Sus scrofa: one gene and its partner. Each later gene encodes a partner of the first gene's protein in a complex. Links are inferred from orthologs where the notes say so. Each region holds a gene or a part of one and is shown on either strand. Other genes may lie near its edges.

Evidence for each region.
Region 2: the proteins of TEAD4 (region 1) and FAM181B are in contact, whole or in part, in a crystal structure (PDB 6SEO), measured with the Homo sapiens proteins. The link is inferred for Sus scrofa from reciprocal best matches to the Homo sapiens genes TEAD4 and FAM181B. Residues at the interface, in NP_003204.2 of Homo sapiens: Glu263, Ala264, Val265, Asp266, Gln269, Ile270, Asp272, Lys273, Leu295, Lys297, Trp299, Glu391, Val414, Glu416, Val417, Ser418, Ala419, Ser420, Gly423, Gln425, His426, His427, Tyr429; in NP_787081.2 of Homo sapiens: Pro221, Leu222, Arg223, Arg225, Asn226, Leu227, Pro228, Ser230, Phe231, Phe232, Thr233, Glu234, Pro235.

What each region holds. Positions count from the first base shown.
Region 1 is NC_010447.5:67,164,774-67,168,823, forward strand, and holds the start of TEAD4 (transcriptional enhancer factor TEF-3), read right to left. Parts: upstream 2,807-4,050; 5' UTR 2,782-2,806; coding exon 2,556-2,781; intron 1-2,555. UniProt on the Homo sapiens protein: Transcription factor which plays a key role in the Hippo signaling pathway, a pathway involved in organ size control and tumor suppression by restricting proliferation and promoting apoptosis.
Region 2 is NC_010451.4:16,920,789-16,924,640, forward strand, and holds FAM181B (protein FAM181B), read right to left. Parts: upstream 2,355-3,852; 5' UTR 2,214-2,354; coding exon 936-2,213; 3' UTR 502-935; downstream 1-501.

The DNA of each region.
Region 1 (4,050 bases):
GTCTTAAAAAGGAAGGACATCCTGACACCTGAAATGACACGGAGGAACCCTGAGGACATGATGTCAGGTGAAAAAGCCAGCACAAAAGGACAAATACTGTGTGATTCCATGTATATGAGGGCCCTGGAGGAGCTCTAGCCAAAGCGGTAGACTGGATGGCGGGTACCAGGGACTGCGGGAGAGGGACCTAGGGGCCAGTGCTGAGCGGGGACAGAGTTTCAGTTGGAGGGAATGAGAAAGTTCTAGAGACGGGCAGTGGGGATGGCTGCTCAACCACAATGTGAACGTACTTAATGCCACTGAGCTGTACACTTAAGAATGGGTAACAAAGAAACAGTGGGTCCCACTGTGGCACGCGAGGACTGTCTGCTGGCTCTCCAGACCTGCCACCACCGGGGCCTCCCCAACAGGCAGCACCCTCAGCGTTCTCCCCACACCGAGCGCCTCGAACACAATTGTATTTGCCAGGCCATGTGTCCTTTTAAAGCAGGAAGATCAATCCTGCTAGGCGCCTGGGCACTGACCACTGCCCCATCAAGGGACCCTGATTTCTCCAGCCACACCCCCGCCACGACGTCACCGTCACACCTCAGCTCATGACCAACACGCACCCCACTCTCCATCAAGCCGTGGAAGAGCCCAGGCCACCCAGCTCCACGGGAAGAGCCTACCTAAAGCAGGTCCCACCCCTGGCACCCACAGCTGCTCTGCGCACAGCGGCTGCCTCTTCCGTGAAGCTTCCATGGGGACCCAAAGTAAGAAGCAACCACTGGAGCAGGACGTGGTTAGAGCAAGGTGCCAGGGGAGCCCAAACCAGGGCGTGGAGACCCGCAGAAGTGGGGGCCCCGCAGAGCCTCAGCGGAGGGGCTGGTAAAGTCGGATGAGCAGCTGTAACAGGTAACCGAGGAGCAGAGCTGGGGTCTAGCTCGAAAGGACCTTGCTTCCTCCAGCAGGAGAAGGAATCCCTGCCCTTGCAGGGCAGGTGCAGATTAAAGACAAGCAGGTGGGGCTGGCTCCCTAGACCAGTCACAAAGCAGATTTGAGTTTAGTTAATTGAACAGAGTGGAACAGCGCCCGCCGCCCCCAACATTCACATCCATCCAGAACCTCAGAATGTAATCGTATCTGGAAATGATCTTTTTTTTTTTGGCCTTGCCCATGGCATCTGGAAGTTCCTGGGCCAGGGATCAAAGCCACACTACAGCAGTGACCCAAGCTGCTTCAGTGACAACACTGGATCCTTAACCACTAGGCCAGCAGGGAACTCCAGGAAACAGGGTCTTTACAGAATTAACTAGCTAAGATGAGGGCACACTGGATTAAGGGGGGCCTTATATCCAACGACTGGTATCTTAGAAGAGGAGGACACACAAAGACAGACAGACAGGACGGCCATGTGACAACAGAGTCTGAGACCAAAGTGCTACAGCTACAAGCCAAGGACACCAAGGGCCTCCAGCTGCCCCCAGAAGCTGGGAGGGGGCACAGATCAGATCCTCCGGCAGAGCTTCCAAGGGGAGCCAACCCCCAGCACCCTGAGTTCAGACCTTCAACCTTCTGACTCGGGAGAGGATACATGTCTGTCATCTTAAGGCAGCCCTGAAATTCGAGGTGGTTTTTTACAGCAGCCCTAGGAGCTGAGATCAGTCAGCTGATGAGGCATCTGTGCTGGGGGAGGGGCACCCACGTGGGGGTGGGCACTGGCCCAGAGCCATCTCATGGGAAGCAGGGCAAGACCCTCTGTGGACAGGGGCTTCAGCCAGTCAGAGATCCCCACAGCTCCTACCCAGTCCCAGTGTTTCAGGCTGGGGGTCCCAGGGAACTTTCCAATGGCAATGGAAGCCTGAACGGAGCCTCTAAAAGTTGTTCCGTGTTCATTTTGCTTCCCAGATACCCTCTCTTCCATCCCAAAGTCAACACAGCCCAGGCAGACGGCTCGTTCCTTCCCAGGGTCTGCGGGACAAAGTGCCTCTGTGTCCTGCATTGACAATGACGCAGAGGGCGTGTGGAGCCCCAGACCACGCCTTCCCTGATGGCTCTCAGCTAAGGGGCACACTCCTGCAGGGGGGTGGTCCTCACCCCCCCCCAACCCCGGGACACTCTCAACGCCTTGTGTACAGTTACCTGTATGCCCACCCCCACGTACCATGAGAAGGGACTAGATCTGCCCCGCCCCTGCCTGGCACACCAAAGGCCCAGGTATGAATGAGGGAGTGAACCAGGACCGCCTTCCTAAAGGCCTTCACAGCCACAGTGGGAAGCTGGGAGATCAGGCATCTGCCTGGGGGGTGGCTAAAGGGATTTTCCCAGCCTGCCCCGGGGGGATGTTCTAGGCTTTCCCAAGTTCCATCCTCACAGCCACCCAAAGGTGTCTCCCCTGATGCCTCCCAGCCCTTGGGAGCCTAGGACAGAGTAAAGCAGCGTCTGCCAGGACAAGCCCCAAGAGGTCACCTCTTTCCATCACTTGGAGGGAACCGGGTTGCTGTGCCCAGGCTGTTCCTGGGGCTGGACCATGAGCTGGCGGGCCTGCTGCCCAACACTGACAGCCTCCTTACCGTACATCTTGCCCTCATCCGATAGGATGATCTTGCGCCGACCGCAGGGCGGGTAGATGGCCAGGGCCTCCTGGAAGCTCTGCTCGATGTCGGGGCTCCACACGCCCTCTGCGTCATTGTCAATGGGCTTGTCCAAAGCCTGGCTGCCCCCAGAGACGTTGCTCCCCTCGGGGGAGTTGGGAGAGCTCCACTCGTTGGAGGTAATGGTGCCGGCCTTGCCCTCCAAGGCTCCGCTTGGAGGAGCGCCCGTTGGACCTGGGTGGGCAGAAAGCACAGCATTGGTGGATGAACGTGTGGACAAGGGGGTGGGGGAACCCAGGGAGCACCACCCCTGAACCAGGTGCTTCTCCTTTCCTGGTGCTCATGGCCCAGGAGCTCAAGGGGAAAGCCAGGGAATCCCATGGGGCAAAGAGTGAGGTGGGCGGGGCAGGGCGGGGTGGGGAGGGGCTGGTCAAGGGCAGGTCATCTCCCCTCCACAGACCTCAGCTCCCCACCCCATCAAAGGAGCTCAGCAACCAGGCACTGTCTGATTGTGGCTCTAGGAACCCAGATGGGGCTGAGAAGTTAGATGAGGGCCAAGTACCATGGATGTTCTACATTAGACCAAAAAGGGCCAAGAGCATACAAAATACTGTGCTCTGTTGGTGGGAATGTAAAATGGTGTGACCGCTAGGAAAACAGCATGGAGGGCCAACCAAAAAATCAAAGAGAATGACCATAGCACCTAACAATTCCACTTCTGAGTATATACCCAAAAGAACTGGAAGTAGGGTCTCAAAGACACTCATGTTCAAAGCAACATTATTCACCACAGCCAAGGGACAGAAGAACCCAAGTGTCCATGGACAAATGAATGGCTAAATAAAATGTGGTCTCTACGTATAGTGGAGTGTTATTCAGCCTTAAAAATGAAAAAAAAATCTTTTTGTTTGTTTTTTAGGGCCACCCTGCAGCATATGGAAGTTCCCAGGCTAGGGACTGAATCAGAGCTACAGCTGCAGGCCTACACCACAGATACAGCAATGCCAGATCCTAGCCATGTCTGTGACCTATACTGTAGCTTGTGGCAACATCAGATCCTTAACCTGCTGAAAGAAGCCAGGGATCGAACCCACATCCTCATCGACACTAGTTGGACTCTTAACCCACTGAGCCACAACAGGAACTCCATGAATATGCTTTATTTTGTCTTTTGTCTGGCCTCACCCATGGCATATGGAGGTTCCCAGCCTAGGTCAAATCGGAGCTGTTGCTGCCAGCCTACGCCACAGCCACAGCCACGCCGGATCCTTAACCCACTGAGCGAGGCCAGGGATCGAACCTGCAACCTCATGGTTCCTAGTCGGATTCATTTCCACTGTGCCATGACGGGAACTCTGAATATGCTCTTAACATTACTGAACTGCACACTTAAAAATGGTTCGTGGTGCAGTGGTTAACGAATCCGACTAGGAACCATGAGGTTGCGGGTTCGGTCCCTGCCCTTGCTCAGTGG
Region 2 (3,852 bases), on another chromosome or scaffold:
ATCTAGATTTTTATAACTTTAACATAACACAGAGTTTCAACTTTCTTACATGTAGCTATTTTGATCATCTATCTTGGTGTCTGAACAGAGACAGCTCTTCTCTGCAACTTAAACAGTAAGCAACACCTTATATTGTCTGCATGTAGGTCTCTCTGGACATTTTCACCAGCAAGTCTGCAGAACTGAAGGGCTCCCTTTATTTCCTTCCAGCAACTCATTTCCCACATCTTTCTCTACCCCTCAACCATGCTGATATGCCATGAGTCCTCTCTGCTACGTCATGTCTGGTTAAAACATTTCTGACTTTTCGCAAGTCTCCCTCAGATTAACAGATCAGACTCCTCTCCAGGGCCCTTCAGCACAGGTGAGGTCCGCAGTCACCCACCAGTCTCCTGTCCACAACTAACACACACCTAACAAGGCAGGGAGACCACACAGAAAACCGTCCTCTAGGAAAATACCCCAAAACACCCAAATCAATAACAACATACCTCTGCTCCATTCTTTTCAATATAGGCTTTAATTCATAACACACTCAAGGGGAGGGAAGGGGAAGGTCCAGGATACCGTTTGGAAGGGGCAATTACCCTAAATACACTGGCCTTGTGATGAAAAGTTGGGAAAGGAACAGGTGGCTACAGAGGCCACTTCCTGTCCCTTTCGCCATCCCACCCTATTCCCTAAACGACGAAGTGGTTTCTTGGTAAGAACCTACCAACTGCTTTAAAAAAAGAAAAACACCACACAAGGCTGTGATTAAAACAACCCCCAACTTCTCTGCATTTCTTTCTCCGAAGTTTCTTTTATTAATTGAATTTTTAAAACCCCGTTTCAACTCCATGTGCATTTTCCCATCGTTCTTTAGGCTTGGGAGAGACCCAGAGGCAGGAGTCCCCCAGAGCAGTCTTTTATTGGGAGAGAAGAGTACCTCGAAGTCAGTCCCGGGGCGCCTCCTCCTCTCCGGGCGCCCCTTCCCAAACCCCATCAGGTCTCCAAAGGCTGGAGTACGCGGAGCGGCTGTAGCCAGCGCTGTACTCGTAGGACACCTGTTGGGGCGGCGGCGGGGGCAAAGCGCAGTCTGAGAAGAAAGGGGCGAAAGAGGCCAAAAGACCAGGCCCGTCCTCCCCGCCCGGAGAGTCCGGGGCGGCGGGGTACAGAGGGCGCAAGGGCTCGTTCAAGGTCAAGCCGCCGCGAGGGGCAGCGAGGGGCGGCTTCTTGGGCGCTGGGCAGCCCGGAGCGCTCCAGGGCTCGGGATACAGTAGACTTCCCACCATTGCGGGCGGAGGCTCAAAGAGGCCGGGCTCCAGCTCTGGGGATCCCCGCACGACCGCTGCTCCGGTGGGGAACACATCAAGAGGCTCCGCAGCCAGCAAGACGCCCGCCTCGGTACCCTGGCAGTAGTCGGGCCCCAGCAGCTCGAAGAATTCCACTGCCTCGGCGCCCTTCTCCAAGTCGCCCAAGCTCACGCCGGGCCCCGACGGGCCGCATCCGCCGCTGACCGCCCGGGACGGCTCGGTGAAGAAGGACGGGGGCAGGTTGCGGGCCCGCAGCGGGACCTTCCTGGCACCGGGGACCACCGGACATCCCGCGGTGCCGGCCGCGTCCCCTCCGGATCCCCCAGCGCCAGCTCCGCCGAGGCCGCCCGCGGTCGCCGCCACCGCAGCCCCGGCCGACTCGGCGCCCCCAGGGACGTGGCGCAGCGAGTCGAAGAGCGCGGCCAAGCTCCGGCTTTGCAGGCTGGCGGCCGCCGCAGCTTGCGACGCCTCCCGCCGGGGGGCCGCCTTGCCGTGAGTCGCGACCGCGACGGTCTGGGCGCCGGCAGCGGCCAGTGGCCGTTTGGCGGGCGTGTCGGTGGCGCCCGGGGAGGGCGGGCAGGGGGGCGCGGCGCCCATGAGGCCGCTGCAGCGCTTGATTTGCTTCTGCAGGTACTTGCGGTGGTTCACCTTCCTCTTCGACTTGCCCGGCTTGTCCAACGCCAGCTTGATGTTGCTGGACGCCGAGTCGATGAAGCTGAGCAGGTCGCGGGTGGCCTCGCGCACGTCCCCGCCCTCGGCACCCGCCAGCAGCGCTCCGGCCGGAGTCCCGGTTTCCTCGTCCTCGAAACAGCAGCCCTTGTCCAGGGCTCCGAAGGCGCCCCCCAGCCCATCCGGGGAGCCCCCGAAGCCGAAGGGGACGAATGGATGCGTGCTGAGGAGCGCCGCCTGGACTGCCATCCCCGCGGCTCCTCGGCAGCCCGCACCGCGGCCCACACCTCCGCCCGTGCGCCCCCGACCGGTTTCCGCCCGCGGCCCAGGCCCGGCTCCCGCCCTGGCGCGGTGCGAGCAGCGCAGCCTCCTCGCTCGGGGCCGGGCTCGCTGGTCGGCCTCCCGGGGGAGCTCATTAGGTCTTGTAAGCGAGGGGCGGAGGGAGGAAGCGCAAGGCGACCGCCCCGGTGGCGGAGGGGAGGGGCTTATTTAGCTGGGCTAAGCTGGAAGTGGGGGGGGGGTCACTTTTCCAGCTTTCTAGGCTTTCTCAGACTCATCACCTTAACCCCTTAGTTTCCCTTCACCCCTTGCATTTTTCTTGGCCAGCTCCAACTGCAAGACTTGAGGATCCTCAAGTCCAGCTCCTGCATAACCACGCCCTGGCGAGGGGTACTCTCCTGGAGGCTAAGGCAAGTGTCCAGACACGTGAGTTTCAGTACCAGCTCTGGTAACAGTAATAGCCATCAGCTGCTGGGCACTTGCTCATGCTAGGCACTGTCCACGTACTCATCATTGAATCTTTGAACAATAGTCCTATAAACTACGTCTTATTATCACCATACAACAAAACAGGAGACTGAGCCTAAGAGAGTTTCAGTGTGTTGGCCAGAGGCTATATCCAGACCAGTCTGACCCCAAAGCCATTCCTAAGCCCTTGACAAAACTGAAGTTCTCTCTTGGCCGTGGATTCCTCACCTATCCGATGGGGAAGGAAACTAATGTCTCTCTTCAAGTTCTAGCCCTGCTCCTAAGATTCCAAACCGAGTTTCTGCAGGACTCTCAACTCTGGTGCTCCTTCTTCTAACCCTTAATTGTTAGAGCAAATCCGAGCCAGCACTTGACCCATCCTTTATTAACAGCAGATAGACAGCAGGAGGCAAGAGAGAAAGTTGCTCCCACTAAGCTAGCTGGTGAGAGAGACAGCAGAGCAAGAGAGCGAGAGAAAAAGTCTCAGCATCTTGGGACAAAATATGGATTGGAAACTCTCCCCTACCTATCATGCCATTTAGGTTGATCTTTTGGAACTTTTATTGCATTTCAGGAATCACCCTGAAGTTCAACCCAGTTTCACCTGGGTAAGCTTCTTGGGATAGAGAAAATGAACAACGGCAGAGGTAGAAGATGATTCAGAAAAGACTTGGTCTCTGGTCTTAGCCTCACCACTCAGTAGCTCTGTGATGGGTTGAAATCTTTGATGAGTACATAGCTTTGGGCAAGCCAGCTGACCTCTCTCTGCCTTAGCTTACTCAGGCTAAATGCAGGTAAGTGGCCCACCTGACAGGGCACTTGCAAAACATCTTATGAAAAATCCTTATCTGTTGGCTGTACTATAGCCTGTGATGAGTATTTGCTCTTATTTCTCTAAAACACAAAAAGGTGACTATGTTTCCTTATATGAACACCTAATATGTATGAACACCTCAATCAGAGTGTTCATGGGGATTAAGTGAAGTCACATATATGAAGGTACTATGTGTGATAGAGTTTTCTTTAAGTTATTATAGTTTAAGTGCAGAGTCTACTCAGGGAAGCTATAGACCATCCCTTTCAAAACTCTTTTCTTTAAGCCTCACTTTTCAGGATGTGGCAAAACCATTTTTGAGCAGCC